Mytilus edulis: one gene and its partners. The protein of the gene in region 4 interacts with the protein of the main gene of each other region in a biochemical or structural test. Links are inferred from orthologs where the notes say so. Each region holds a gene or a part of one and is shown on either strand. Other genes may lie near its edges.

Region 1 (7,669 bases), on a different chromosome or scaffold from region 4:
ATTCATAGAAAACTTTAGCCAAAATATATAATATAAACTTTTGTTTCTCGTTTCTCGACTTTTATACAGACTAGGCCGTTGGTTATCCCGTTTGAATGGTTTTACACTAGTATAATTTGTGGGCCCCTTTAAATGTGAGCCAAGGCTCCGTGTTGAATAAAATTGAGATTGGAAATGGGGAATGTGTCAAAGAGACAACAACCCGACCATAGAAGAACAGACACCAGCAGAAGGTCACCAACAGGTATGGCAATGCAGCGAAAAATTCCAGCACCCGGAGGCGTCCTTCAGCTGACCCCTAAACAATATATATATACTAGTTCAGTGATAATGAACGCCATACTAAACACCAAATTGTACACAAGAAACTAAAATTAAAAATAATAGAAGACTAACAAAGGCCATGCAGAGGCTCCTGACTTGGGACAGGCGCAAAAAATGCGGCGGGGTTAAATATGTTTATGAGATCTCAACCCTCCCCTATACCTCTAGCCAATGTAGAAAAGTAAACGCATAACAATACGCACATTAAAATTCAGTTAAAGAGAAGTCCGAGTCTGATGTCAGAAGGTAAGAAAATAAACAAAATGACAATAATAAAATTGAGAATGGAAATGGGGAATGTGTCAAAGAGACAACAACCCGACCAAATAAAAAACAACAGCAGATGGTCACCAACAGGTCTCCAATGTAGCGAGAAATTCCCGCACCCGGAGGCGTCCTTCAGCTGGCCCATAAACAAATATATACTAGTCCAGTGATAATGAACGCCATACTAATTTCCAAATTGTACACAAGAAACTAAAATTAAAATAATACAAGACTAACAAAGGCCAGAGGCTCCTGACTTGGGACAGGCGCAAAAATGCGGCGGGGTTAAACATGTTTGTGAATAATACATGAATAACATCAGACTACTAGCAGTTAACTGACATGCCAGCTCCAGACTTCAATTAAACTGATTGAAAGATTATGTCTTCATCAAATGAATATCAGGTACAATCCTTCCCGTTGGGGATTTAGCATCATACCATCATAACATATATGAGAAGAACATAACCCGTGTCATGCCAACAACTGGTTTTTAAATGAATGTGTTTAATTCCGATGCAAAGACCCTATAAGTGAATCAATATAAACGCCAAAATATGCAATCTTTAATGACCTGACAACAGTATCGTAACTATATCCCTTCTTAATAAGTCTATTTCAAGGTTTTGTTAGCTTCTGAGGTGAATACTGACATTTTTGTGCTTTATAAAGAATATTTCCATAAAAAATTGGATGTGAAATACCTGAACGTATAAGAAGTCTGCATGTTTAGCTATATTTACGAATGATGGTCTTATACCGATGATAAAATTTAGTAAATATTTTGACTAATTTGTGATATCGAAAACCCTGGTGTAATAATTTTTCAGTAATACATAAATTTCTCTCGTTAAAATCTAAAACATTGTTTGAAGACCGTACTTTGACCTATAATGGCCCAAGTTTAGTTCTATAAATTGTGACTCGGGTGGAGAGATGTCTCATTGGCACTAATGCCACATCTTCTTATATCTATTTAATATATGAAATATATTGCGTTTATTGCATCGAAAGCTATATATTTGTTTTAGTTGATACGGGTATGCACAACACACTCAGAGTTTAAAGAAAAGCAAACAAGTTGAAACTTCTTATATATGTTGTATATATACTGTTATACCACTGTCACAAGTTAGGGGAGGGTTGGGATCCCGCTAACATGTTTAACCCCGCCACATTATTTATGTATGTGCCTGTCCCAAGTCAGAAGCCTGTAATTCAGTGGTTGTCGTTTGTTTATTTGTTACATATTTGTTTTTCGTTCATTTTTTGTACTTAAATAAGGCCGTTAGTTTTCTCGTTTGAATGGTTTTACATTGTCATATCGGGGCCTTTTATAGATGACTATGCGGTATGGGCTTCGCTCATTTTTGAAGGCCGTACGGTGACCTATAGTTGTTAATGTCTGTGTCATTTTGGTCTCTTGTGGACAGTTGTCTCGTTGGCAATCATACCACATCTTCTTTTTTATACAACAACCAAGGATACTTCCAATTTCAAGACAAACTTTGGTGCTTTATGGATATGGAAAATCCATGTGTGTTTAAATAATAAGTTAAATATGGAACATGTATTATGCATATAATATACTATAATCTTCCAATTACATATATGTTTTGGTAAAAGTTATAAAATTGGTTATCCAGAAAGCCTGAGATTATCCTACCACATGTAATTGAAGTTACACTTTAAAATCCAAAGATTCTACAATAACTAATTGGACGTTAATTCGTTGGTGTTATGAAGAGAGATCACAATGACAACTCCTACCCTTTGGCAGAAAGTTTCATGGCAGACAATACGATAATATCTAATGATTATATAAACAGTGTAAAGTTATTCGTCTCGCCAAACATACTTAACTATGAATAAAAGAGGTTGTTGGGCATATGCTATATTGTATGACACCTGGCTGGCGTGTCTTCATTAAAACTGTATGTTGACATCTAGGTGCCGTATCGTCATTGGTGTCATTTGGTTGATGATCATGTTCCACTCAAAGAATATCCCTTTATTCGAATTTATATTGTAAGTGTAACTTTTTTTTTTACCAGACTTGAATTATCCTGACACTCAACATCTTTCACAAGTAGGCCTTCACTCTAGTTCTTTAACTAAAATAATAAAAGAAGGCATAATGCGCAAGCTGTAGTCCCCGGTATGAAAGAAAAACAATCTTCAAATACCTATTGGGCTTTCCTTATATACTAACTGTTTCATGTGAAACTTTCTCGTTTTTTTGTCAAAAAGTTACATTTTTACAATTGTTAAGGTATAAATAAAGGCAACAGTAGTATACCGCTGTTCAAAACTCATAAATCCATGGACAAAAAACAAAATCGGGATAACAAACTAAAACCGAGGGAAACGCATTAAATATAAGAGGAGAACAACGACATAACACTAAAATGTAACACATATAGACAAAATCCCACGAGAATAACAAATATAACATATATATATAACATCAAAACCAAATACATGAATTTAGGATAGACAAGTACCGTGACACGTCTTATCGCAATGTGAATTTACACTCAAAAATAAGAGAAAACAAACGACATAACGTTATAATGTAATACACACAGAAACGAACTATAATATAACAATGACCATATTCCTGACTTGGTACAGGGCATTTTTAAAGGAAAAAATGGTGGGTTGAACCTGGTTTTGTGGCATGCCAAACCTCGCACTTTTATGGCCATGTGAAATATAACATCAAAATGACAACACAGGACTACAATATAAATAAATTGGAGAACACAATTGACAAAGAATAACACGAACAACAGCCAACAAAAGGCAACAAGTTCAAAATTTTAATACCATATATTAATCTGTACAGCGGCATTTAATGTAGTTATAAAATTTTAAAAAGTCTGATTATTACAGATTTTTCGTTGATCCGGCTAATCAAGTCCGTAATATCTGTCAGCAGTCATTAATATAATACAATGCAACCGTTGAAAAAGCTTTCATACTATTTCTGTTTGCTTGTACCATTTGTTAGAATGTCTCTACTTGGACGAATACACTGATAGAAACTAATGTGTCAGTCCAATGCAAAAAATCATGACACAATGAACTTATGATATACTAAGGAGCAAATGAATTCTAAAATATGCCTTTGATAGACGATACCGTTTTAATTTTTTTTTTAAGTAGAGACCAGCTGCACACCCAAGATCCCCCACAACAACTAATGATGATGCTGAAAAATAAACACATAAGTAAGAGGCCATATGGCCTGTAGTTTCAATGTTCTTTAACGTGATATTTTGAACGCTTATTCTGTAAAATTCTGATGAAAATTATGTTAATATTATCTTTCTGCAATAATATAGGGTTTTTGCATGAATATTGGGGAATATATTTTTCTGTGGGAACTATTATATTGCTATGTAATAAAATGACTTCTTTAAACTGTAGGCTCTATCGTTCATTTGTGTAATCATCTTCGGCACTTGTCTCCGAAATATGTTCTCCCTATAATTCTGAGTTAATATCCATTTTAAACATGAGTAAATCATAAAAAAAACGTTGATGACGTCACGGTCACATGACAAAATTATGTCTATGGGCTGATAAACAAAACGACGTAAGCCAATCAGAAGACACGTTTCATCCAAAATTAAATTATATCTGAATATGATGAGGCCCACGATAGCCTGTTATAAAAAGGAGACTGCGGTAATCATGCTTACAATTTCTTTTATTTCTTTTTTACTTTCTATCTTTTTACTTTCTATTTCTGCACCCTTTATTTTTTTTTCATTTTTCTAACTATGTTATTTTGGCCATTATTATGCAGACCCCAGCCAGACCCACATATAAACTCCGAATTAATCGTAACAACTCGCTACGCAATGTAGGCCAATCGAAACTACTCGGCCATTCTCGCTATGCAGCACAATAACTTCGTGCAACCAGAAAGGCCGAGTAGTTCCGGTTGCAATGCAGGCGTGTCGGAACAGGCCGAGTATTTACGATTGAACTCCGAGTGAGACTGGTAACTTTTCTTTAGATTTTAAGAAACCAGTTTCTTAAATTACTTCCCTTAGTTTGACTAATCGCTGTTGTCGAATCAACTTGATGGGCCAATCAAAAACACCGTAACATAAAAAGCGAATTTAAACCAAGAAGCGCCATTGAAATATGTTTTGAATATCGTCGAATGTAATTTTTGAGCAAAAATGTCATCCCCATCGTAAGTTGTACATCACACACACGTTTAATCATTCCACTAGTATTATAAAATGTAAATATGAATCCAAGATCAATCACAAAAGGACATCAGAAAACAAAACAAAAAAGGTATAAATACTCAAAATAAGTTACTCAGACCTTTAAAAATAGTAAACATTAACTTCCAGTCTATTAAGAACAAAAAACCAGAAGTTGATATTTTGATTGATACCACACAGCCTGATATTATAATTGGCACTGAAACCTGGTTAGACTCTAAAACATCATCTTATGAATATTTTTCAAAAGATCATTACACAGTATTTAGAAAAGATAGACCACCAAATAAAAAAGGACAATGTCATGGAGGTGTACTCATAGCTATATCAAATAATTATTTATGTACAGAAATCAAAGAACTAGACACAGGATGTGAAATGATATGGGTAGAATTATTGATATCAAATGCACGTAAATGTTATATATGTGCTTATTATCGACCCCAGCCAGATGATGATACATCTTTAGATTTACTAAATGAATCCATAAGTAGAATAAATGTAAACTCAAAGTCAGCCATAATTATTGGTGGGGACTTTAATTTAGGAAACATCAATTGGGAAACAACAAGTGTCATCCCTGGAAAACCAAACCAAAAACAACATCAACAATTTTTAGATATGATAAATGACCATTCATTAGCACAAGTTGTAAACATACCAACTCGAAATGATAAAATTTTAGATCTTGTGTTAACAAATTATCCAGCCATCATTGAAAAAACTGAAACCATACCACCACTAGGGGAGGCAGACCATGATATTGTATATTTAGAATGTTTACTATCACTAAAAAGATGCCAAACCAAGCCACGGAAAGTATATAAATATAAAAATGCAAATTGGCAAAAAATAAAAGAGGATATAGACAAAATATATCAAAAGATCATACATAAAAAAGATAGTGAAGATACAAACACACTTTGGTTAATATTCAAAAACTCATTACAAAACACTATCACTGAGAACATACCACAGAAAATGATGAGAAATAGTAAAAATTTACCTTGGATAACAGACAGTATTAGACGGCAAATGAAAAAGTACAAGAAAAAATATCAAAAGTACAAATTAAAAGGCAAAGGGAAACTAGACCAACTTAAAAAATTGAAACATGATATACAAAAACAACAAAGAACATCTTATTGGAATTATATTGAAAATATGATATGTGGGATACCAGTTGATGAAAACCCTACAACGATATCAAAGAGCTTCCCAAAAAATCTGTTCAGTTACATAAAAACACAAAAGTCTGAAAGCTCAAACATACCACCACTCCGAAAAGAGGGCTCACTAACATCTGACTCGAAAGCAAAAGCTAATATTTTAAATGAACAGTTCGAAAAAGCATTTACACCTGTAACAGATGACCCAATACCAGACAAGGGCGTCAGTAAACATCCACAGATGCCTGATATTAAGATACAAAAACACGGCATAGAAAAACTTCTAAATAACATTAACATCAACAAAGCAGCTGGGCCTGATCTCATCCATGGTAAAATTTTAAAAGAGTGTAAATCATCTATCTCTCCCATCTTATCCATCATATTTCAAACATCACTGAACTCTGGAAAGATCCCAGATGACTGGCGTCACGCAAGTGTATGTCCAGCATTTAAAAAAGGCGACAAACACGATCCCATAAACTATCGCCCAATATCATTGACTTGCATCTGCTGCAAACTATTAGAACATGTTGTAGCTAGTAGCATTATGAAACATCTGGAAAAAAATAAAATACTATATGAATTACAACATGGTTTTCGATCCTCCCGCTCCTGTGAAACTCAGCTTATATCATTTATTCAAGATCTTGCAAATTCAAATAATAAAAACATCCAAATAGACATCATAATAATGGATTTTGCAAAAGCATTTGATAAAGTTTCACACCACCACCTCATGTATAAAATTGGTTTCTATGGTATAAATTGTAATGCATATTATTGGATTCAAGATTTCTTAACAAACAGAACACAAACAGTAGTCCTTGAAGGTGAAACATCAAACAAAATTCCTATAACATCTGGGGTACCTCAAGGCACAGTGCTTGGTCCAATTTTATTTTTAATCTTCATTAATGATTTGGCAGAATATATTGAACACAGTACATTAAGATTGTTTGCAGATGACAGCATTATTTATAGGGAAATTAAAAAAACAGATGACACATTTAAATTACAGTCTGACTTAGAAGCGGCCGGCAGGTGGGAGCAGGACTGGCTCATGCATTTTCACCCTGATAAGTGCAACATTCTCAGTGTAACCCAAAAACGCAAACCTTTAGACTTTACCTATAAATTACACAATCACTCTTTAGAAAAAGTTGACTCTACAAAATATTTAGGCCTAACTCTTCAATCAAATTTAAAATGGGACAAACATATAGATAACATGACATCAAAAGCAAACCAGTCCCTTGGATTTATTCGTAGAAACCTAAAAATAGCATCACCGAAAGTTAAAGCTCATGCATATAAAGCTCTTGTCCGACCAAAATTAGAGTACTGCTCAACAATTTGGAACCCACATCAAAAACAACAAACTCTACAAATTGAAAAGGTTCAGAGAAGAGCAGCACGCTTCTCATGCAACCGCTTCCATAACACCAGCTCAGTTACTGAAATGATGACAGACCTAAATTGGTACCCACTCGAAATTAGGCGTGTACGATACAGACTTGTTTTCTTCTACAAAATTATTCATGAAATTGTTGCAGTTCCTACACATAATCTTTTGATCCCACTTGACAATAGAACCAGACATAGCAATCCACACTCATTTAGGCAAATACAAACATCTAAAGACAGTTATAAATACTCATT
Region 2 (7,859 bases), on a different chromosome or scaffold from region 4:
TTTCATACACGGGAGTTTTTTCTCCTAAATGGGAGGTTCACATGTATGTTACGAAGGGCATCTAATTCACATGACAAAGGAAACCCATGAATAAAGATAACACTTTATATATCCTTTTTATTTATATAAAAATAAAATCTTCTTGTCTGCAGGATTGCAAATTCGTAACTTCAAGGGCGAACTTGTAAACAGGGCGAGTTGTACCGATACCAAATTCACGCATGCGTAATACAAATATCTACAGTAAAAACATCCTGTTACAAGTAAACAAATTACGTTCATGTGGATGAGATGAAATCTAATAATTTACATAAATAAAAGGGTCATATTTACGATAGTGATTGTTTTACAATCATAATTTACAAATTAAATGATTCAGATGCCCAATCATGTGTAAAAATCGGTGTCAGGAATCTAAGTTGTTTTGATATTGTAATACACGAAATGAATGCGGCATACGGAGACTCAAAGCCAATGGTCGGCCCCTTAAGTCTTCAGAAGACTTGACGTCTTCTTCCACTAAAAACGATCAAACACCGGGGTTTGTTACAAATTATTTGCCGAGTTTACTATCCATACGAACCCCGAAAATGAGCAAGTCTTTGAAGTATTAATTATCACCTATTCAAACTTATAATTGTTTAGTCAGAAATTCTACCATTTGAAAACAATTGAGAGGATATGATTAGAAAAACAAACCCCAAGCTGATACGACTTGAGAAATTTCACTTTCTCGATGTTCAGCTTGGATGAGGCCATTTAAATATTATAAAACTTTAAGGTCAGACAAATGAGAAATCTTTATGCTAAAAAAATGTCAATTCCTGTCAAACGTCGTAAGGTAAAGACGGTAAACTGTACACTGCTACAGTGGGTTACAAAACCAAACAGAAGCTGACAAGGACTTTATTGTTGGTCCTACATGTTCTGCAACATTACCTGTTAGTGCTAAGAAATCTTCACATAGGTAGTCTGGTGTAAACCCATCATGGAAAAAGACTTCTCCTTCAGTTTTATACACTGATAGTATGAGGATTTAATATATGAATTTACAATGGAGGAAAAAAAAGACTCTTCTTCTATATCATGTGTATCCAGACAAAAACATTAACAAACAAAGGGGTACATTGTAACTATCATGAGCATGATGAGGACATCATTACAAGAGAAAACATCAATAGCATAATATAATAAAAACACATCAAATCAATTACAAACAAAACGCGCGCCGCAATAAAGTTACTGAGAATTGTCGAAAATTACGCGCTTACCACAGCGCTATCCAAAAATCCTGGGGAGAACACTGTCACATGTACATTTATCTAGAAATATACTGTAAATTCAGAATTTTTTGCCAAAGTTTTTTATCAATGCAAATAATGTCATTACTAGTTGATTTAATACTGCAATAATTAGAAGTTACTTGTATTCTGATATCAGATATATATATCTGTAAGCAGCGTTTCCTAAAATTGCAATAATTAAACTTACATTTTTGTTCACTTTTCAAAAGTTGCAATAATAAATGGGTGCAAGAATTTCTGAATTTAAAGTAATCTAGCTTCATTGCAGCACAAACTAGATGTTGCAGCTAGAACACAGTAAATGATAATATGGCTGTTCTAATTAATCGTAGTTACATGTACATGAAAATAATATTTAACTTCTGCACTTCTTGTCTATAATCTTCATGATGTTCATCTTTTCATCATGTTAATGTTTTTGTGTCAATACACAATATACTGCTATTCTAATAGTGATAGAGTGAATACCAGGTGGCTGATTGTTTCAGTTAAAAATATATCTTGTTGGTCAAATTTTTGTATTGAGTAAATTAGCTTGATGATACAGAGCATAAAATTTGAAAAAAACAAACTAGATATCATTGAGATGGAAGCCATCTCTGTGGGCCCGCTGTGAATAATGTGTGGTAAAAAATGTGTATCTTTATCATTAAACATGGGGTTGTCAACTGAAACCGATGATTTTGACCTTGATGATGATCTTTGACCTACGAAGTTGTACATAAATTATGACACACCCTCTGGTGTTGTATAATATACATGTCAAGTATAAACTTTGAAATCATAACAGTTGTCTAGACATAGAGTGGACACAATTTGTTATGGACAGACCGACGTACAGAATGATCACTATAGGGCATTCGCCATTCCGCAGGGCCCTAATTAAAATACCTTTTTATCAAATTTGAGCCATGCTATATATCCTTTCGTGTCAACATACTGCAGACCAAAGTACCATGTTTCTCTCAGACCAATTGTTCTACACACCAGTTCAAATAAATCTTTGCCTGTAGCCTTGTGCTAAAAATAGAATAAAACTTAATGTATGTCTAGTATGTACTTACACATTGATTAAAAGTTTATTTTATATTACTTTAAGGTATCTTTTTTTCATATTTTGTCAATGCTTGTTTGTTTTTTTTAATTCTGAAATAAAGAAGAATCTTTGTTTCCTATTTATTATTGATTTTACTTTTTTGAACGTTGATGATCCTGAGGCCACTACTAAACTTCTTAAAGTATGCATATATATTTCCCAACTCATTTGCTAAGCATATCAGCCAACTTTTCAAAATGTCGAAGTGGGTTTTATGTTCAAAATGGCTCATTTACTCCTACAAAACCTTCAAGGGGGCCTTCAAATATATAGAGAAGTAACAAATCAAGATATTTTATCTTGAAATTGTAGATATTTTAAGTTTAATATGTATTAATAGAAAAACAGGTGACATATTTTTTAAAACATCTTTTTAATTATAAATCCACCAAAAAGGCAATGACAAGTATTACAAGAACGGGTCAGAATTATTAGCATGTCATTGAACAATCAATGCTTCAATATGTCCATGTGTTTACATGTTTAAGTGAATTTCAAGAATTTATACCACACCAATATCTGAATAAGTTTCTTAAACTTGAATGCCATTAGTATAAATATATTAAAAAAATTTGTAAGGGTTCCGCGGAACCCAGTGTCTTGCCTACTCTTTCTGTTAATCTCAGGCTCAACAAAAATGAGGAAATAAATCAATGAAATATTCCTGTTGATACTATCTTTTGATTGTAAGAAGCTTCTGTCCAAGTTTTGTAAAAATCCAGGATAGTTTATGAATCTTATAAATGTTTAAAATCTTTAACTGCAGACTGAATGTAATGTTAACTGGAAGAAAACAAAATTTCCTTCTAGATACTAGCTTTTGATCATAAACAAGTTTCTGTCTGTCCAAGTTAAGAACAAATCCAAAATAGTACATGTATAAGAAAGTTATTAAAATTTTAAAAAGTTTAACCACAGAGTGAATGTGTTGTTTCCTGGCAGCAAATCTAAGTCCATTTAAAAGTAAAATATGAAAATATAGATTTAGTCATTTACAAAATTTCATTCCTGATACTAGCTTTTGATCATAAACAAGCTTCTGTCCAAGTTTGGTACAAATCCAAAAGAGTATAAGAAAGTTATTAAAATTTTAAAAACCACAGAGTGAATGTGTTGTTTCCTGGCAGAAAATCTAAGTCCATTTAAAATTTAAATTCGGAAAAATGGATTTATTTTTTTTACAAAATTTACTTCTGGATACTATCTTATGATCATAAACAAGCTTCTGTCCAAGTTTGGTACCAACCGAGGATAGTTCAAGAAAGTTATTAAAAAAAATTTAAAAACCTTAACCACAGAGTGAATGTAATATTTTCCTGTAGAAAAACTAAGTCCATTTATAAGTAAAATACGGAAAAAATGGAATTTTATTTTTACAAAATCTACTTCTGGATACTATCTTATGATCATAAACAAGCTTCTGTCCAAGTTTGGTACCAACCGAGGATATTTTAAGAAAGTTATTAAAATTTCAAAAACTTTAACCACAGAGTGAATATTTGTGGACGACGCCGACGACGACGGAATGTATGATCGCTTAGTCTCGCTTTTTCGACTTAAGTCGAAGGCTCGACAATAAAAGTAGAGAGAACGAACTCATGGCAACACACTATTCAATAATTGAAGGATTGCTAGAAACTGAAAGATTTAACTCTTGATGTTTTAACACCACTCCACTTTTAAACACAGCTTTTGAGCTATTTTGTGGTGGCAAGTTTTTATTGGATGAAGAAGCTGAGGTGCCTGGAAAAACCCGCTGACTTTCAATTGGAAAACTGACAATCCTAGTCCATTAAGATTGGAATAAGTACACCCGTACCAGCCGGGTTCAACTCACAACCTCATTGTTGACTAGTAGTAATTTTCAGTAATAACTACGGAGACAACTCTGCCTCAGAGATCGCAGAAACTGAAAGAAGGTGAAAGACTCTACAGGTGAACGAACACACCAGATAACATCTATCTGGGTACGAAATGACTAATTTTTAAATAAAATTATGTGTGATTTGACTTCAGTGTGATATATATGTGTTTCCTATTACTTAACTAATTTAGTAGTTTTACAAAATATCATGTCAGAGACGATTTATCAATCAATAACACACAGTAATGCTCGAAATATTCACCTCCACAGTCGTGAAATCAAGTTCTGCATCCATTGTTGTCACTTTCACAGCAAAACTTTTTGAGCTACCTGAGGCCTGAGCAGCCTTTTTCATATTAACAAAAGGCATTGCGGCGTTTAATAAGTCTATCGACTAATCTAACACTTTTACATGGTGCTCATAAAACGAATAACCGATCCCTTTCATCTTCATCTTTCACATTTATTCAATGTTTTCATTTTTCATTTAAGTTTGAAATGCTTTACAAGCCACTGCTAATACCGTTCTTGTAAAGCGCTTAGATGATTGCATTTAAAAAACCGGAAAAAGAGGTACAATTGACGCATGCGTAGTAAGCTATATATTTAGCGGGAATAAGCAATCATCAGCAAATAAAGCAGAAAGCAGTCACAGCACTTTCACAGAAAAACAACACAGAATGGCACCAGATCTAACATCGGGTGCTATTGAGGTTAATCAAATTTTGAAGAGGCGAATAACCATTCAACAATCCCTGTTTAAACTTTATGTTATCATGTCCTTCTTTCAGTTACAATGTATAATTTAATATAGATCTTATAAGCGATGTCCGCCGATGAGGGAGTCCCTTCTCTTTATGGTTAGAGTTAACCGTTAGGTGAGATGTGTACTTTAGGTTTAAGTCAGATTTAACATTCTTGATGTCGGATACACATGTGCCTACACCAGCTGTGCTGTGGAGTCGTATGTGACATATATGTCCTTGATTTAATTGATGCAAGCTTCTTTATCATAATTGCTGTATTTCATTCATCCCAATGGGTCCTACTAAAATGTGTCCGGGTAAATAAAAGCGCCCGGGGAAGAAAAAATAGCGCAACTTTGTGTTGATAAAATAAGTTGTGCACATTATTTTTTTTTTAATTTTAGACAAGTAATTTTTTTGTAATAAAACAAGTATGAATGTTTCAATTTTAACAATAATATAATTTATGAATACAATTTCGAAAGACTGATTATAATGGATCACAGTTTATGCGGAAGATTTATAAAATGTAAGACATCAAAAGGCATTGTTTTTCAAAAACAATATCAAAATGAAAAATGTAAAAAAAACGACTTAGATTTCACAGATTAATATATTAATTTAATCAAAATTAAAAGAGTTACACATAATACATCAGCAAATAAAGCAGTACTATACATGTACCGTAGTTAAAACAAGGGGGTAAAAAGCAGGAGTTTGGTTTAAATTTAAAACTAAGCATTAAAACCCTGATAACCATAGCCATTGAAACAGTTTTAGTTTCATAAAAAAGATATAATAAATGTATATCAGCATCTGCATAAAAAGTGTTCTCCATGCAGTTGCGAAAATATAAGACTTCAGGCATCATATCCACATTTATATTAAGGACAAAATTTATTTTTTTTAAATTATCATTGCATAACAATATATTAATGTATCTAGGCACTCATACCACATCTTCCTTTAATCTGTCTACATATTATACTTGCTCTTAATTGAAAAGTATTTAGACAGTCTATGTGTTGTCTTACACTGTTTTTTTTTAAAGTTTTGAGTGACCTCTAGTATTATCAGATGGTGCTGGGGGCTAAAGTAAATAGGCTCATCCTGTTGATATTGTGACAAATCTGGACTTATTATTGTTATTATTTAACGTATTATTTATTGTATATGACATATATTTATTTGAATATTGCCGGGTGGTCAACTTCTCTCGAGTGCACAAACACTGATAAATGCATTGACTTTCATACTCATGATTTAAACTATTTGTACTTTGCAAGCGATAAGGGTCAGTTTTATATGTATATCTTGGTAATGTTTACCTATGAAATACTTTGATTATACCGTCATACAGTGATTTATTTTGACAAATATCGTCGTGAGATTCAACTTGTTTACATCTGCCACGACACCGTTTTGTACTTTCACTTTGCGATCTCACATTATCATTTGTTTAAGTTAACACTTTGTCAATGCAGATAATTTGCGTATTTATTATGTTTGTGCCTCCCTTTTCATTAACATTGTCTTTATTTATGATAGAACAGGGTTTTCATTGATCTTATTTAAGCATTATATCTAATGCGTAAGGTTATGTAAATTACACCCAAGTTCATACGCCGTACCGAGAAAGGAATTTACTGTCCGTTTAAAAATAGCATTATGTAGAAATGTCCTTTTAGTTTCATTTGCTTTTAAACATAATTCGGACAAGAAGGACAAAGTGAGGACAACTTAATAATGTTTCTTTATCTAAGAATAACGAAATCTGTTTGTCTTTCTAAACGTTACTAGCCAAAAGACGTAAGAAACGTTGCTTTTGATTGGATGATTAGATGTTTACTCTAACGTCATAGTAAGTGCCAAAAGACATAAATAGGAGCCTGTAGACACACATGTCATTCTGAATCAATCTCTTGAACCGTCAACTACCTTTTATATTGACCACCCGATTTATTGCTTTATCTGTTGAATGATGAATGTGTATTTGATGTTTATTATATTGAAAGAAGAAGTCAAAAAACTGTTGAAATAAATATCATTGTTATGTTTATTACAAATCTGTTTCTTCACACTGCCGTCGATTCCACTCCTCCTGAATGATGGTTAAACAGTTTATAGTAACCCTAGGTTTGTTACAATATCATCTATACCATGGATGATGCATAGACTCCAGTCACTCCAATATCTGTAAAACTTATATACTTAGATAAATAAATGTCTCAAAAAAATTTATCGCCTTTTGGTCATTCAATATATTTTTTACTGTTTTCTATAAAGCAATCCAAGTTGGATAAAATTCCTCAGTGTGAAAACTTTTGGATGAATATCTTAATGACTTAAAAAATAAACTTAAGCTCCTTCGTGCAATTGTAAATCCTATTGTGCTATAACTTATAAAGTCTTGTGTGTTTTCTTTTTGTAGGCTATAGTTGGTGGAAACAATTTTGATAGACCTGTCTTGCAGATTATTGTAAGTATGAAGACACACTAGTGGTCTCAGGCTTTTTTATGCTCTTTCGTCGGGTTGTCACTTTGACACATTCCCCTTTCATCTCAGTCTTATTATTTACAAAAGGGGAGTGGGAAAAAACCCAACTGATAACTTCTCTTCTTATGTATTAAAATGTTCTATATTCAGGTATTAGATAAATCTACAAAAAAATTGAGATGTGGTAAGATTACCAATGATACAATGCAACTATCCACCAGAGAAAACAAAAAGGAAGTCAAATAGGTTAATCTATTACACATTTTCCATGAATATACATTTCTTCTATAAGAAGATTAGAATAAATATTAACATTAAATTTTCTGACTTGTCTCCCCTTAATTGGCTGAGA
Region 3 (7,796 bases), on a different chromosome or scaffold from region 4:
GTAGACCAATTTGAAAACAGGACCAATAATTTAAAATCTAAATACACGGTAAGATTCAGCATATCAAAGAACCTAAATAATTCATTGTTTTATGATTACAAACAAAGTTTAATTTTTGACCCCGATTTGTACCAACTTGAAAACTGGGCCCATAATCAAAAATCTATAAACATGTTTGGGATTCAGCATACCCTTTGGACCTTAATGTGTCCCAAATTAAAAACGGGACAAAAAAACACAGACAGATGGACAGACAAATGCAACGGTAAACCATAATATATCCTGTAAACAGGTGAATATATTAAAGCTCATCTATCAAGTGATCAGTTCAATGGGAAAGAGACACATCTTTCTTTTTTGTTCAGAACTTGTATAAATAACTTGGAGTCTGACCAATGTCTAACAAAGTTTATAGAAAGGATACATCCATTACTGTGTTGACTTCTGAATGATACAATTTGAGCTCTCTCCACTGGCCTATGAGGGAATATCCTACTAACTGGAGGTGCACTCTTCACAGGAGGTCTTGGTGGCAACGAATCTCTAGGAGTTCCCTTTGCCTGTAGAACAATATACATGGAATGTCAATGCACATTTATACAAAGTCTATTGCAACTGTGGAATCACCATAATTCATAGGATACAATTTTTATGACTTTGTGGGTAAGGCAGATTTTACAATAAGAAGGAAATATTGTTTTTTTGTATCCATCAAAAAAGCAATTGCTGAAACTGTGAAACCGACTGTGTAATGGAGTAATGCATTATGTTATTGAATAAAATGTGTCTTTCTGAGTAAATAAAAATAAAAATTACTCTGTGTTTGTGTTTTTTGTTAGAATTAGAGGGTTTTCAATTTCAAAATATTGGACATGGAATAGACATCATGACCTACTTTACTGACATCCAGCTTATTTGGAGTGGAATTTTGAAGTATTATTTATAAGTGGAGCCTAATAACATGGACTTATATTTTAATAAAAAGTCTTCTTTTGTGTTTTAATCATAACTTTAAGGCAGTTTTTTATTGGTAAAGGCTAAAAAAGGTAATTTAATAATATTGTTGCTAACGTCACGTCTTTTCCGTCCATTGTGGTATGTCACGATCGCAATTTTCTTGATGGTTCTCAGACAGCCCATTGTAGTTATTTTTATCCCGGGTTTTATAAATAATTGAAAATAGCATTCATATTACATTTGGATGACGTAAGGGGTTCAAAGGACTTGAGGAATCAATATCATTGGCTGTTTTATTTTTTGCGAACGTTACTCTCGACGTTTCCGTCCAAATCAGTGTCACGTGAGCAACATATATTTAGATCTGTAACTCTCCTGTATAGGAGTTACGATATCGCCCTTTGCAGAAATAGATTCGGAGTCAGTTCCTTCACATGATGGGGAAGCAAAGATGGGAAGTTGTATGTAATATCGTTACAAGAGGACCTTAAATGTATTCCGTCCACCAAAAAGACGTTCGCAACAAAACGTAATGTCATGATAGTAGATGTTGCTAATGTTACTATTACGAATTGGTTTCTTGTGTATTCAGTTGATATAAAGTACACCTGCAAATGACATTCTGTATATTTAGAAATTCTAAACCAGACTGTACAATTTTATTACTCCAGGCGTATATTAAACATCACTGTGTGCATACATTTTAACTTTTAAAGATGTTGTTGCTCATGTGACATGTCCAAATGTCGCTAACGTTACTCATTTTTTGGTTTCTTGTGTATTCATTTGATATAAAGTACACCTGCAAATGACATTCTGTATATTTAGAAATTCTAAACCAGACTGTACAATTTTATTACTCCAGGCATATATTAAACATCACTGTGTGCATACATTTTAACTTTTAACGATGTTGTTGCTCATGTGACATGTCCAAATGTCGCTAACGTTACTCATTTTTGTCTCTGTCACGTTAGCAACATGAAAGTAGGAGACAGAACACAATACTGTAAAATCTGCCGTAAGTAAATCATGAAATTTAAAGTTGAACCAAGTACAAATGTTCTATAAGCTTGAATACAACTTTGGAAAAACCCAGAAGTTTCCAATGACAGGTCACAGAGTTAGGGATGGCATCAAAGTTCAATGTAGGATAAAAAAAACTTAATTCATATAGTTTTTTCACTGCCCCCCACCCCACTCTTCACTTAATTTGGGAAAGATTGATTGACCAATATGATAGAAGTAAAATGGATCTTGAATTGAACAAAACTTGCAGCAATTTTTTTATCCTACATTGATCTTTTAATATCCTCCCTTATCTTCCATTTCTCTATGTTGTTGAAAAACAAAACGTTTGCCAGCTTAGTTGATTTTCGCCTGGATATTTAAATATTTAGACCTGAATAAAACATAAGCCCATTATGAGTGTTGCTGATCTGAAAATTAATGCATGCTTCTGATAAAAGAATCATTAGAAAGAAATGAGTGTCTTTGCAAGATATAGAAGCATATAATCAATTGTAATCTGCTATAAACCATGTCCCAAGAATGTTGTCAATGTTGACGTTGAGGAAATGACAAACATGAGTTTAATTATTGTGATTTTACTTTAGGGAAATCTGCGATAACAGTGATCAAGTCACATTGTGAATTTAGGAAACCTCACAATAACTTCAGAATTTAGTGATCAAATTAAGACAAAGGAAGAGACATAATTAAACAATTGTCACTTGATAAGATGTTTTTGACAATAACCTGACAAACTTAAATTAAGAGTGCTATTGCCCAGTGGCAATAGTGGCTAACACTGCATTTTTTATTTTTGGGTCACCTTTTTAGTGGAGAACGTTTGAACATCTTGGAAGAATCTTGGTGTGGGCCTTGGACTCGAAAATGCGTCCATAACGCCCTCTTTCTTAACCATAGTCGTAAAAACTTGTCATAGTTGCATGTCGAAACTCTCAAATTTTAACTGATAAACACTGCACTTTCACATCACATCATAACATTTCGCGGTATTTTGGTTATTGCAATTTGAAACGAGCACACCGATTGGACATTAAAAATGTCAAAACTTAAACCAACTAATCTAAATAAACGAACAAGCATATAAATATATAGAATACATTTCAGTATTTTAATAATATAGTTGTCTTATATATTTCAATACTGAATATCTCTTCAACAAATTTTTTTTGCGAAACAATGATTACATTTGTCTATACAAATATTTACCCAATCAACTGCTTGCTTGTCGATTGCTCTTGGCCGAAAAGTGGAAACGTGCCAAGATCTAAAAATAGTTTAGATATATTCTAAAAAGTTGACACATTGATGGATTGGAACCAATAAAGTAAGCCGCGTGGAAATTTCACTGTGACATTTTCAGACAAATTCCAAAGTACTTTTAAGTGATTAGTACTTTTGTTTAAACACTTTGTGTAAAATCTCTAAATTTTCAAACAATTTAATAGGGTTTTTACTACAGTAGGTCAAGGGGGTCAGTAAGTGGTTTTTTTTAGAAATTTAAATAAAGTGGGGGGGGGGGGGGTGTGTCAGGGAATAGAAGTTTCTTCATAATAAAAGTTCCAAAAGGAAAATATATTCTAGATATTATTTCCACGGGAATAAATATTACAGAATAAGTTCCTAACGGAATAAATGTATGGAATATTTGTTCCAACAGGCTGAGATATTATGACAATGTTTATAACAAAGTTTCCATTGGAACTTCTGTTAATAGGCGGAACAAATGATTGTTTGTTGACAGGGTCAATTTTATGTGTAATGAAAAAAATATGTTGTGAACTTTTGAATCTCAGACGGTCAAGTATATATCCTAGTATATATATATACGAGTCTAAATTGAAAACTACGTTCAAACCTATGATTGCGTTGGATAAAAACCGCAATTTTTACGTGTGCATGTAAAACAAATTTCGTTGTTGAAGGGTCTAAAAACAGCACAAACAACATATTCCAAAAGATCAAACAAGTTGCTTTCTTAAAAAAAGAAAAGCAATACATGAACCTAAGACCGCTGACTGCCGTGTCACAAAAAGATTGTTGATAAATTTGTGTTTGCTTTTGAATTGAAATAATTGCCAGTTGAAAGTATATCTTTACAGCTTCTATTTGAATAGTTATTTAAAACTCAACTATTTTATTTATTACTTGGGAATGTACATACTGTTTCCGATTATAACTCTTTGGCAAATCCTAATTTCTACTGACCGGATGATTTATGCAAATTGCACAAACCTAACACAATATAAATTTATGCACTCAGTTTGCTTTATAATCTAGAATTCTGGATGCATTTATTTTATCTATCATATCTTTATATTGTGTGCTCATGGTAGATGGTGTATGCGGTGAAATCTGTGGCATGCAATTGATTGTGACCTCTTATGAAGAGACTTATTTTGGTCTCATAAAACATCTCAAATTTTAAGGATTTCCTGATTTTACTTTAATCAATTCAAACATTATACAGGGAAACTTAGTTTTGCCGAAGAATTTCTTAATTCAGAAGTTTATGAATACCTTTACACACTTTCGAAATAACCAATTTATATAAAAAGGTATGTAGATATTAAAAGATACCAGAATTAAAATGATGTTCGCCAGACACGAATTAAGTCTACAAGAAAAGCATCAGTCACGGACGCTCGAATGAAAAAAGTTAACAGTCTAAATACAAGTACATTACAAAGTTAAGGAATCTATTCTTTGGGTAGACAATCCTTATATCTTTTCGAACAGGTCAAAGTTTATAATAGAACAGTAACTCAAAAAGAAATGAAATAGAAACAACTCGAGGTCAGAATACCGTTAGTAATGATGACCGTGCTTGAAAGTCACATGTAAAGCTCTTTCTGCAGTGTCCTGTATTTAGATAACAAAAACGAACATAAGCTTTCACGAGTGAATTTAATAGTATTGCATGCAAGTAGTATTTTAGCGCACTAAATAGTACATAGAAAGCATCTCACTGATACTCAGAAAAATCTAATAGTTGAATTCGAATGTCAAACGGTCTACATTAAATGTTTTGACTCCGGATTCATTGACATTTTATCCTGAATTTTTGAGAACGCAAACCGATAGTGTGCTTTTGAAATGTGATCTATAATGTGAATGAATCAAGACGTGTCGGATAGTTGGTCAACACAATGAATACAATTTTCAAAACCGTACCATAGTACAAGTATGTAAATGCTATAAGGTTAAACCAGGGGCGGATACAGGATTTGACGTTAGGGGGGCGCAGAATAAAATTTCGAAAATTTTTTTGAGGTTAAAATGATCAAAGTTATTGAAATATTCTTCTAGAGTGGGTGCAATGTAGATAGATATCTTGCCAAGCGAAGTGTGGCGAGAAACATTTGTGGTAAAATGAGGGAGAAATTAAAGTTTCAATCTAAAACCGCATAATTTAAATGACAATCTACATTAACCATAATTAACAAAACATCTATTAGTTTCTGTTCATTGACTACCTCTATAAATTTACCAGAAAACGGGACTGAACAAAAGTGGAATAGAAACAATTCTGAGTACACAAACTGATTCTCCATATAAAAAAAGTGAGACGAAGCAAATGACGATAGCTCATCTGACCAATATAAGGTATTGAAAACGAAAATGATTACTGGTACAATTTATTTGTCAATTCATGATACGTGTTTTTATTTTTGTTCTATTTTCGGTGGTCGTGCTAGACTTTTTACATACTGTAAAACAAACAAAAATGGCCGCTAACCACTAAAATCAAAATGAGATCCTTAAACAATTCATTGTGCTTATTTTCTTGGGATCCCATGTAATACGGTAGTACCTACGGGTTTGGGCCTTGACCGTTTATGCATGCTTCGGCAAAATTTACATGTTGCAAGTGAGAAATCGTGTATTGTCACAGAGATATTAAATAATGAGTCAAATTAACAAACTAACCTCTCGCTTGAACCATAATCTTTATCTTTCCTTAAGAAAGAATCTAACTTACACTGCTTTCTTGGTATGATGAAATAACCAACCGGTTACCCAAATAGCGGGTATGGCTCCCACCTTCTTCGTGGTAAAGTGATGTAGGGATGTTTTTGAACTTCGATTATCAAAGAAATTGTTCATTAAAACTGCAACTAGAATGTCACAATTTTTTAATTCTAACTGCTAAAAGCCTATGATATTTGTCATCAAACGCAGTACCGCTTTTGACACCTTCCTTTGAAGTGTAACATGTTTATAGAACTTAAATAAACAAAAGGTCAGTTGATTAGTAATCACGTTAAATGATTCTGTTAAATTACTGTTTTATATAGTAATACTTGTTTGAATGTTACGACAGATTGAATGCGACGACATTAGCTTTCGTCGGATACTTTATTACGTCCGGACAACCCATGCTTTGCAAATTTTAGGGGTGTGGGGGGGGGGGGGGGCACGCCCGCCACGCCCCCGCCTAAATCCGCCCCTGGTTAAACTATTAAAACAAACAAACAAAATTTGAATTGAAATTTCATAATAAACTAACGTTCCTGTTAGTATTTTTTTTTAAATCCTTTGAATATATATAATATTAATAAACACGAACGCATACCTGTCAACCTGTGACGATGAAAATGCAGGTCATGACCTGCATTGAAGAATCAAATCTCAGGTCATAACGCGTACGAACTTTTTCGAGCTGAATTTCAGTATTTATGGTACATTTTCTTATAATGTATATCAAAGATACCAAAACATCAATGCATGTTCACTTGGTTAAGTCATTTTAAATCTTATTTATTATTATTTCATTACACTTTTAAAGATTTTTATAAACTTGTGTATCACAGTCTTATTTCCATTACTTTTTGTCATCATCTAAAATTTATTTTTCAAATATTATTTGAGACTACTAGCCTTTCAACATATCATGTAGAGGTATTACATGTATGAACATTCATCCCTCAATCTTACAAGGAAATTAGACTATGATAAAATATAGTAATACAGTTAAAGCATATCTATGGTTAAAGGAAGTATAAATGTAAAAAATAATTTTCAACTTTTTTTTGAAAATTGTATAAAGGTATAAAAATAATGAAAAGTTATTTTTCAATATGTATTTGAATTTGATATTATTATGATTTAATCTTTTTCACCCATAAAGCGTAAATATTAGGAATAATTTTGAATGGTGACAAATAAGGGGAAGTAACTCTTAGTTGAAATATCTTTGTAAAACAGGGCAATTTATTTACGACCTAAAGCTAAGGTAATTGGTGTTAATCAACAGTGTGTTTGACACCAAAGCTGTCAAGTGAAGCCATGCACTTAATGGGTCACTTTAAGTTAATTTGACAGTTTACATAGCTAGATGAACTGCATGTTCATGGAATAATTACGAATTTGCCGGTATTTCAAAGGAATATTACTTATGAAAATCAATCTCAAGGCTAAGAAATACGGGTGAAATCGGGTCATTTTCGGAATTTCCGGGTTATTTCAATGACCCTGCGGGTGATCCGGGTGATCCCTCAGAATTGTGAAAATCTCGGGTCACACCCGCAGAATCCGGGTCAGTTGACAGGTATGCGAACGTCAAGTATTAACGGATGGACATTTTAATTTTCGAATGAATCTATTTTCAAGTTCAAACATTCCACTATGTGAATATATCACTATGCAAAATATAAGCAAAGGCTTCTAAATCCATACTAAAACCAAGGATTTGTATAGTAAGTCTTACTATACAAATCCTTGCTAAAACGGTATAAAATAATCAACATTATGGTCGTGATTTAATTTTATTGTGATAATCAGTCTATGGAAGGTGCGATACGATAAAA
Region 4 (7,087 bases):
GCCACTAACTACTAATAAAAAAATCATGCATCTTAGACTAAACTATCAATCCGTACACATCCAACATCCAATGAATTTAGTGTCAAGACGTCATAAACAGTCAGAGAAAAACATGACCTTGTGTAGCTTAGTATCAATTACATGTACAACTGTCAAAATTCATAAACTTGCCGTATATTGTTTGACATTTCAACAGTCATTTTAATCTTGTCTGTAGTTATCACAGCAGCTTCTAAAAAGGACTTTGGTTGTAATAGAGTCTAAATAGTAAATAGCTGTGTTTTTTTAAGTACTGGTATTAAAGTTCTAACGCTGGAGATTAAGTCTATAGCGATTGAGATGCAGTTTTGCACAGAAGCTTTAACGTCAATAATGTTGTAATTGACACCTCAAGGGCTAGAATTTATTTATTTATTTATGTGTAACATATTTGTTTTTCGTTCATTTTTTTTATATATATTAATAAGGCCGTTAGTTTTCTCGTTACAATTGTTTTACATTGTCATTTCGGGGCCTTTTATAGCTGTCTATGCAGTATGGGTTTTGCTTATATTATAAGGCCGTACGGCGACCTCTACTGAGTTGTTACTTTATGTGTCATTTTGGTCTCTTGTGGAGAGTTATCATTGGCAATCGTACCACAGAAAGAACATTGATAATAAAACGGATACATACAAATTGAAAACAAATCGCGTAAGAAAAAGCAATTATTGGTATGTTAGTTTCCTTTAGTATCATTTTTGGTTCAACTTCTTAATCATGATCAGGCAAAATTATTGGCTTTTTATTCTGACATTTGTTTTTCTTATTCCTCTTCCACCCCATTTTTCGGCATATTACACGTCCGTTTTATTTGGTCATCACATCGCGGACTCCTAACGGATGCAAATTTTGTAAATGAAAAACTTTTGTTATTTGTTATTTTAGCAGATATCGCATGTTTAGCATAGACACACACAATTTTGTTTTTTAGAATTTAAGTTGACCAGGCCAGAGTTCAAACTAACTATCTCCCACAATTTAGCTACGTCAAATCCAGTTTTAAAATATTTAAAAAGAAAACTGAATTAATATTCAGAAATGGATAACCATTAAAGTCATTCATTTCATCAAAAGTTATGTGGAACTATCTCCTGACACTTTTAAGACAGTTTTAGCTAGAACAGTTCTAACCAAGAACTGATTTGGTCATTGGTAAGTTCTACCTAGAACTGATTTACACACTTCAACCTGGAACTGATCCTGACAGTTCCACGGCTAAAAAAATCTACGACTAGAACAGAACTGCGACCTGATTTCGCCAAGAACGCATCACGATTGTTTTGAACATGTTTAAAGTTTGCTACTCTCAACACGATCACCAAGACCTCATCAAGACCGTAACACGACCATACTGGACTACGATCGTCAATAGCATAATGCATTATTTTTTTAGAGATCGTAGTGCGATCACGGCCTAGTGTGACGGGGCCCGGGTTATAATATAAATGTTGCTGAATACTACCAAATATTAAGGATGTGCCCTGAATGCAGTTGTGAACAAACATCTAAGTTTTAATTATTTCAATACAACACCTGTGATTACACTAAATTGGACGTCACTTATAATACTTACAAAGCAATTTTAAAATCGAATCATATTTTTTTTGTGATAACTATTATAATGACAAAAATGACATCTTTTACTCACATTTAAATTATCACCACCTGAAATAGTGTGTACGAAAAAATTATTCTAGACAAGGGGTCCTGTTCGATTGTTTAGTTTTTAACTATTTTATTTCTTTATACATGTACGCATTTTCGGCATTAAATAATGTCTGTTAGGAATCGAATTCATCCAAATCATATTAATAAATAACCATGTTAAAATAATGTTATTTATATTTGTAAGGCATGCATGTTTCTATCGGCAATGCTTAAAATTGTATCTGTATTTAGATTTTATGTTACCACAGACAGAAAACATGAATCAGGTTAACCGTAAAAAAAAAGGTAAACTCGAATAGTACAGCGCAACCAGAAAGTCTCAACATTGTGACAGAAAGACTCAACCAATACCTTTATATCTCAACTATTTATATTCTTTAATTTTTCTGCTCAGAGTAGCTTGACAAAGAAATATTTGTGCAAATTACAGACGTGGTTATCGTAAAGCCTTAAAAAAAACACAAATAATTGACATATTTTCTTGCTAAGTCATTAATATCATAGCAGTTCTATCGGATTTAAAGAATGTAAACATTATAATCCGTAGGAGAAAAGTGATTGTGACTTCAATTTAAAATATTTTAAACCAAGAAGAGACATATTAGTTACAATTATTATTTATCTATGGCATGACATTCTCCGATTTTACAAAAATGTCATTGATTTTCAGTAAATCGACGAAAATTCGACCTACCCTGTGTTTATTTTGAATATTTTGAAGCAGAAAGCTCAACAGGAAGTGCCAGAATACTTTTTTCCGAGATTAGATGGTTTACCAGGCGTGATATATGTAACTACGTATTTGACTTTAACGAAAGAAATATCGGTATTACTGAAAACTATTGCACCAGGATTTTCAATAACACAAAACTATTCAAAACATTTACTAAATTTTAAAGTCGGATCAAGGACTTCATTCGTAAATATAAATCAACATATCTAAAAGACATCTAATACTTTCAGAAAGCCACGAATATCATCGGATTTAGATTAATTTGAAAGTCAGACAAGACTCAGTGTTTTTGGTTCAATGACGACAAAATTATAAAAAACGCAAGTTTTATTTATTTATTATATATCTACGGAAATATCTCATCACATAAAACATACATATCCGTAACATAATCCCTTTGTTACCGCTTTACAGCATATATGTTGTATTGCACATCGTATGTTTGTTTCCTGGAATAAAAATTGCGAAAAGTCAAAGTGAGGCGAAAGATAATAAAGGGACATTCATAAATCGAAAAATAAACTGACAACACTATTACAGAAAACAAAAAAAATAAACTACAAAAAACAGTATACAAAAACCAACGGAACAAAACATAACAAATATATGTGTGGATATTGAATGTACAAGTTGTTCATTGAAAATAAAAACATAAATAAGGCCGTTAGTTTTCTCGTTTGAATTGTTTTACATTGTCATTTCGGGGCCTTTTATAGCTGACTATGCGGCATGGGCTTTGTACATTGTTAAAGGCCGTACGGAGACCTGTAGTTGTTAATCTCTGTGTCATTTTGGTCTCTTTTGGAGAACGGTTATCTCATTGGTAATCATACCACAGGCTTCTTTTTTTTTTTATATTATCCGATTCTCCAAGACTATACACAGTTGAATCAAAAAGACCCAAAACAAAATGTTGTGAATGTTTTTACATTCTGAACATATCTCTCAACAACTGAAAACGAAAAAGAGCATCTTCTATACATCGATCAATCTTGCATCTTGAAATCTTCTACCTATCATTAAAAAAAAAAGATTGAACACGGTAATATCAGTTATCGTACACATTATTTTGAGACCCCCTTCTATATTATTTACCTCGGAAACCGAGTCGGACAGTTAATGTAAATCTATGTAAGGGACTTCACGAAACTTTCCTAAATAGATATAGATCGATATAGGCAGATGTGATATGCGTGTCAATCAGACAACTCTCCATTCAAGTCACTTTTTTTTCATTTTTTGAAAAGTAAACCATTATAGCTAGGTCAAAGTACGTTCTTCAACACGAAGCCTTGGCTCTCACCGAACAGCAGGCTATGAAGGGCCCCAAAAATTACTAATGGAAAACCATTGAAACAGAGAAACCAATTAACGGTCTTGTCTATATATTTTTTTTTTTAAACGAGTCATGAACACTTATGAATGAACCACACCAACAAACGACAACCACTGAACATCAGGTTCCTGTCTTAGCGGACAGGTGCAAACAAATGCAGCGGTTTAAAACGTTTTAATAGGAACCAACGTTCGCCCTTACCTGAAACAATAGTGTTACATCACAACTGAACATAGAAATAAAAACTATGAAATATCGATTAATATATATTGCCATTTTATGTCTCATATCAAGTTTTTTTGTCACAGAAAAAAAGATAGATTGCCATGTTTAATGGATGACACGGACAGTAACCCAACAACTTAATGAAACAGAAAACATTTTTATCAATTTAGAGTAAAAATACTTACAGAATATATATCTGTTAAGACAGTACTATATAGCTATAGAATTTAGAATGGAAGCGTAAGATGTAGGCCCCTATCTGTAAAAAATGTTGTTGTCGTCGTTGATGTTGGTCAGTAAAATAATTTAAATATATTTTACTTGCTAGCAAATAAAATCTATATTGCATATTGCAACTAGCATGCACATATTAAGTTGTTGTCGTTCAACTTGGTGGCTGTCTGTAGTAGCTGATCTTAAAAAATATTATTTTGTCATAGATAAGCTAGCCCATTGGATTTTTTTCTTTTAAATTGTTTCTTAATTTACCATACCAGGACTTACAATCTGGTGTTCGTTTTGCTGATGGTTGAAGGCCGTATGGTAACCTCTAATTGCGTGATTCAATGTAATTTTGATTTAGTTGGAAATAGGTGTCTCGGATTGAAATCACTACATCTCCTTATTCCATATTCTCTTTCATTTCATCTCAGCTCTAGAGGGTGAAACGTTTTGGGGAAGTTAGATAAAGGAGATAAATAAGTGGAGATTTGGGATTAAGAGGTAATAATTATGGAATGCTAATTGAATATATGATGTTTAAAAGTGTGATTTGTGAGGGGAAAAAACGGTATTTTGAAAATGAGCTCTTCGTGTCACCTTCACCATCCAATTCAGTGTAAAAGGTTTATAAAGATTTAAATAAAAATAAAGGGAAAAAAACACAAAAACAAATAGCCGGAGAATCATTTGTTTTAAACGGATTAAAAAAAAGAAGACAAAAATGGACAAGAAATATTTAGAATAGAAAATCATTTGGTGCAAATATCTAAAAGAAAACAGAAAAATGATAAAAAACAAATCAGTAAAAATAGGTGATAGTGGCATCAGAATCACTGAAGAATACACCTGAGAAATTCATTTCAAGTATATGTTTTGGTATTTCGCAAGATACATGTATATGCTATTGCTTAGAGTTAATTTTTCTTTTTATTTATTTTGCATGCTGCATGCCTTGTTTTATGTGTTCAAGGATTTGTATAGTATTATACAAATCCTTGATTTGTTATAATTGCATATGTTTTATATTCGGTGAAAAGCTCATTAGAGATTACGTTTGTACTGTTTGTCAAACGGCATGCCGAATCCAAATAAAGTTTTACTTACTTACTTAAAATTGAGAATGGAAATGGGGAATGTGCCAAAGAGACAACAACCCGACCATAGAAAAAAAACCAGCAGAAGGTCACCAACAGGTCTTCAATGTAGCGAGAAATTCCCGCACCCGGAGGCGTCCTTCAACTGGCCCCTAAACAAATATATACTAGTTCAGTGATAATGAACGCCATACTAATTTCCAAATTGTACACAAGAAACTAAAATTAAAATAATACAAGACTAACAAAGGCCAGAGGCTCCTGACTTGGGACAGGCGCAAAAATGCGGCGGGGTTAAACATGTTTGTGAGATCTCAAACCCCCCCCCCCCCCCTATACCTCTAGCCAATGTAGAAAAGTAAACGCATAACAATACGCACATTAAAATTCAGTTCAAGAGAAGTCCGTTACTTTACTCAGTATTCATGCTGCCGGGTAAATTGCCGTTTTGAATTTTTGGCACGCTATTTCGAGCACGTCTTTATTTTGAATTTTAGCAGTTTACTCATATTTCTCATGCAGTTTGGAATATTAAGTTCGAAAATGCACAATACGCACTGCTGTGCACTGGTCATGAGGAGAACTACTGCAGAATGAGATACTACTAGAACACACCCGTGATATCGCGGTTCCGTGACTGAATTAACGTATAACTATGCGCAAGCCTTATCTTAGTATTAGTACTGTCATCTGATAAAGTCATGCCGATTATAAGATACACAATTTTCAAATCTTTCTGTTTGAACCCGTCGAACTGGAACTTATCAATTGTTGTTAATATTAAATATTTGGAAAACAAAAGGTCCGGGAATGGAGTATCTTTTAAACAACAGCATTGTCCTATATTAGTTATAAATAAAGTTGAATTCTTTGATTCGCTGTTTTACGTCATGCCCGCTAACAAATTGAAACTTATTTCTAGTCCAGATTTTTAGTATTTGTATTGTTATCTTAGAAAGTCTTACGGATTAAAATACTACAATAGGTAACAATTTGACAATTTAGTAGTGTCAACCCTGTGATTATGACCCGTTTATATAGCATATTAATCCTGAATACACCGTTTGGTGGTGCGCCTGTTAAATGCGGAACGTACAGATAAGGTAATAGGTAACAGGTGATTATACTATTGGTATCGGTATCGGACTCGACCCGGAACTTCCTAATTATTGGCGATATTAATTACGTGGAAAACAAAAGGGCCTGCAGTGGTGTAATTTTTAATCTACACCTTTGTACTATATTAGTTGTATATAAAGTTGAATTCTTTGATTCGTCGTTTTTACGTGATGACGGATGACAAATTGGACCTCGTAATTTTAGTATTATAGATATTCCTGGTTCTATTTTTACTTTTTGTTTCCGTATTAATAAACTTTATATCATATTCTTTTAATATTAAATCGACCTCATTGCACTCAATGCCTCTGACCTTAATTATATCCTACATTGCTCATATTATCAATTTATTATTTGTGTATTACTTATAATATTGTGTATTTCACTTATGTTTATATAATCATTGTATGATGTTTTTGTATCTTGCCCGACAAGAGCCCATGATTGGTTTAATAAAATAATGTCTAATAATGTCTAATGTCTATCCAATGCGGGTGTGCTCCTTTTATACAGGAGAATAATACTTGTACACGGAGGTAAAATTTCAGGAAAAAAAAGTATCCCGGAATTGACTCCGATAGTATATTCTAAAATTTTGGTCGGTCTAACGTTTTAAAATTATTCGAATTTTTGATTGGTCATATTTTA

The links.
Region 1: of the proteins of cyclin-dependent kinase 1-like (region 4) and protein regulator of cytokinesis 1-like, one has a biochemical effect on the other in vitro, tested with the Homo sapiens proteins (2 studies listed by BioGRID). The link is inferred for Mytilus edulis from reciprocal best matches to the Homo sapiens genes CDK1 and PRC1.
Region 2: of the proteins of cyclin-dependent kinase 1-like (region 4) and replication protein A 70 kDa DNA-binding subunit-like, one has a biochemical effect on the other in vitro, tested with the Homo sapiens proteins (2 studies listed by BioGRID). The link is inferred for Mytilus edulis from reciprocal best matches to the Homo sapiens genes CDK1 and RPA1.
Region 3: of the proteins of cyclin-dependent kinase 1-like (region 4) and membrane-associated tyrosine- and threonine-specific cdc2-inhibitory kinase-like, one has a biochemical effect on the other in vitro, tested with the Homo sapiens proteins (2 studies listed by BioGRID and IntAct). The link is inferred for Mytilus edulis from reciprocal best matches to the Homo sapiens genes CDK1 and PKMYT1.

Annotation. Positions count from the first base shown.
Region 1 is NC_092347.1:86,087,306-86,094,974, forward strand, and holds the start of protein regulator of cytokinesis 1-like, read left to right. Parts: upstream 1-4,669; 5' UTR 4,670-4,787; coding exon 4,788-4,801; intron 4,802-7,669. UniProt on the Homo sapiens protein: Key regulator of cytokinesis that cross-links antiparrallel microtubules at an average distance of 35 nM. Essential for controlling the spatiotemporal formation of the midzone and successful cytokinesis.
Region 2 is NC_092349.1:5,677,849-5,685,707, forward strand, and holds the start of replication protein A 70 kDa DNA-binding subunit-like, read left to right. Parts: upstream 1-4,845; 5' UTR 4,846-4,944; coding exon 4,945-4,977; intron 4,978-7,441; coding exon 7,442-7,489; intron 7,490-7,859. Other genes in the region: merlin-like, read right to left, coding at 2,196-2,324, 4,527-4,634. UniProt on the Homo sapiens protein: As part of the heterotrimeric replication protein A complex (RPA/RP-A), binds and stabilizes single-stranded DNA intermediates that form during DNA replication or upon DNA stress.
Region 3 is NC_092350.1:92,510,792-92,518,587, reverse strand, and holds the start of membrane-associated tyrosine- and threonine-specific cdc2-inhibitory kinase-like, read right to left. Parts: upstream 3,008-7,796; 5' UTR 2,885-3,007; coding exon 2,792-2,884; intron 561-2,791; coding exon 425-560; intron 1-424. UniProt on the Homo sapiens protein: Acts as a negative regulator of entry into mitosis (G2 to M transition) by phosphorylation of the CDK1 kinase specifically when CDK1 is complexed to cyclins. Mediates phosphorylation of CDK1 predominantly on 'Thr-14'. Also involved in Golgi fragmentation.
Region 4 is NC_092352.1:29,770,182-29,777,268, forward strand, and holds the start of cyclin-dependent kinase 1-like, read left to right. Parts: upstream 1-4,087; 5' UTR 4,088-4,175; intron 4,176-4,657; 5' UTR 4,658-4,727; intron 4,728-7,020; exon of another isoform or gene 7,021-7,087. UniProt on the Homo sapiens protein: Plays a key role in the control of the eukaryotic cell cycle by modulating the centrosome cycle as well as mitotic onset; promotes G2-M transition via association with multiple interphase cyclins.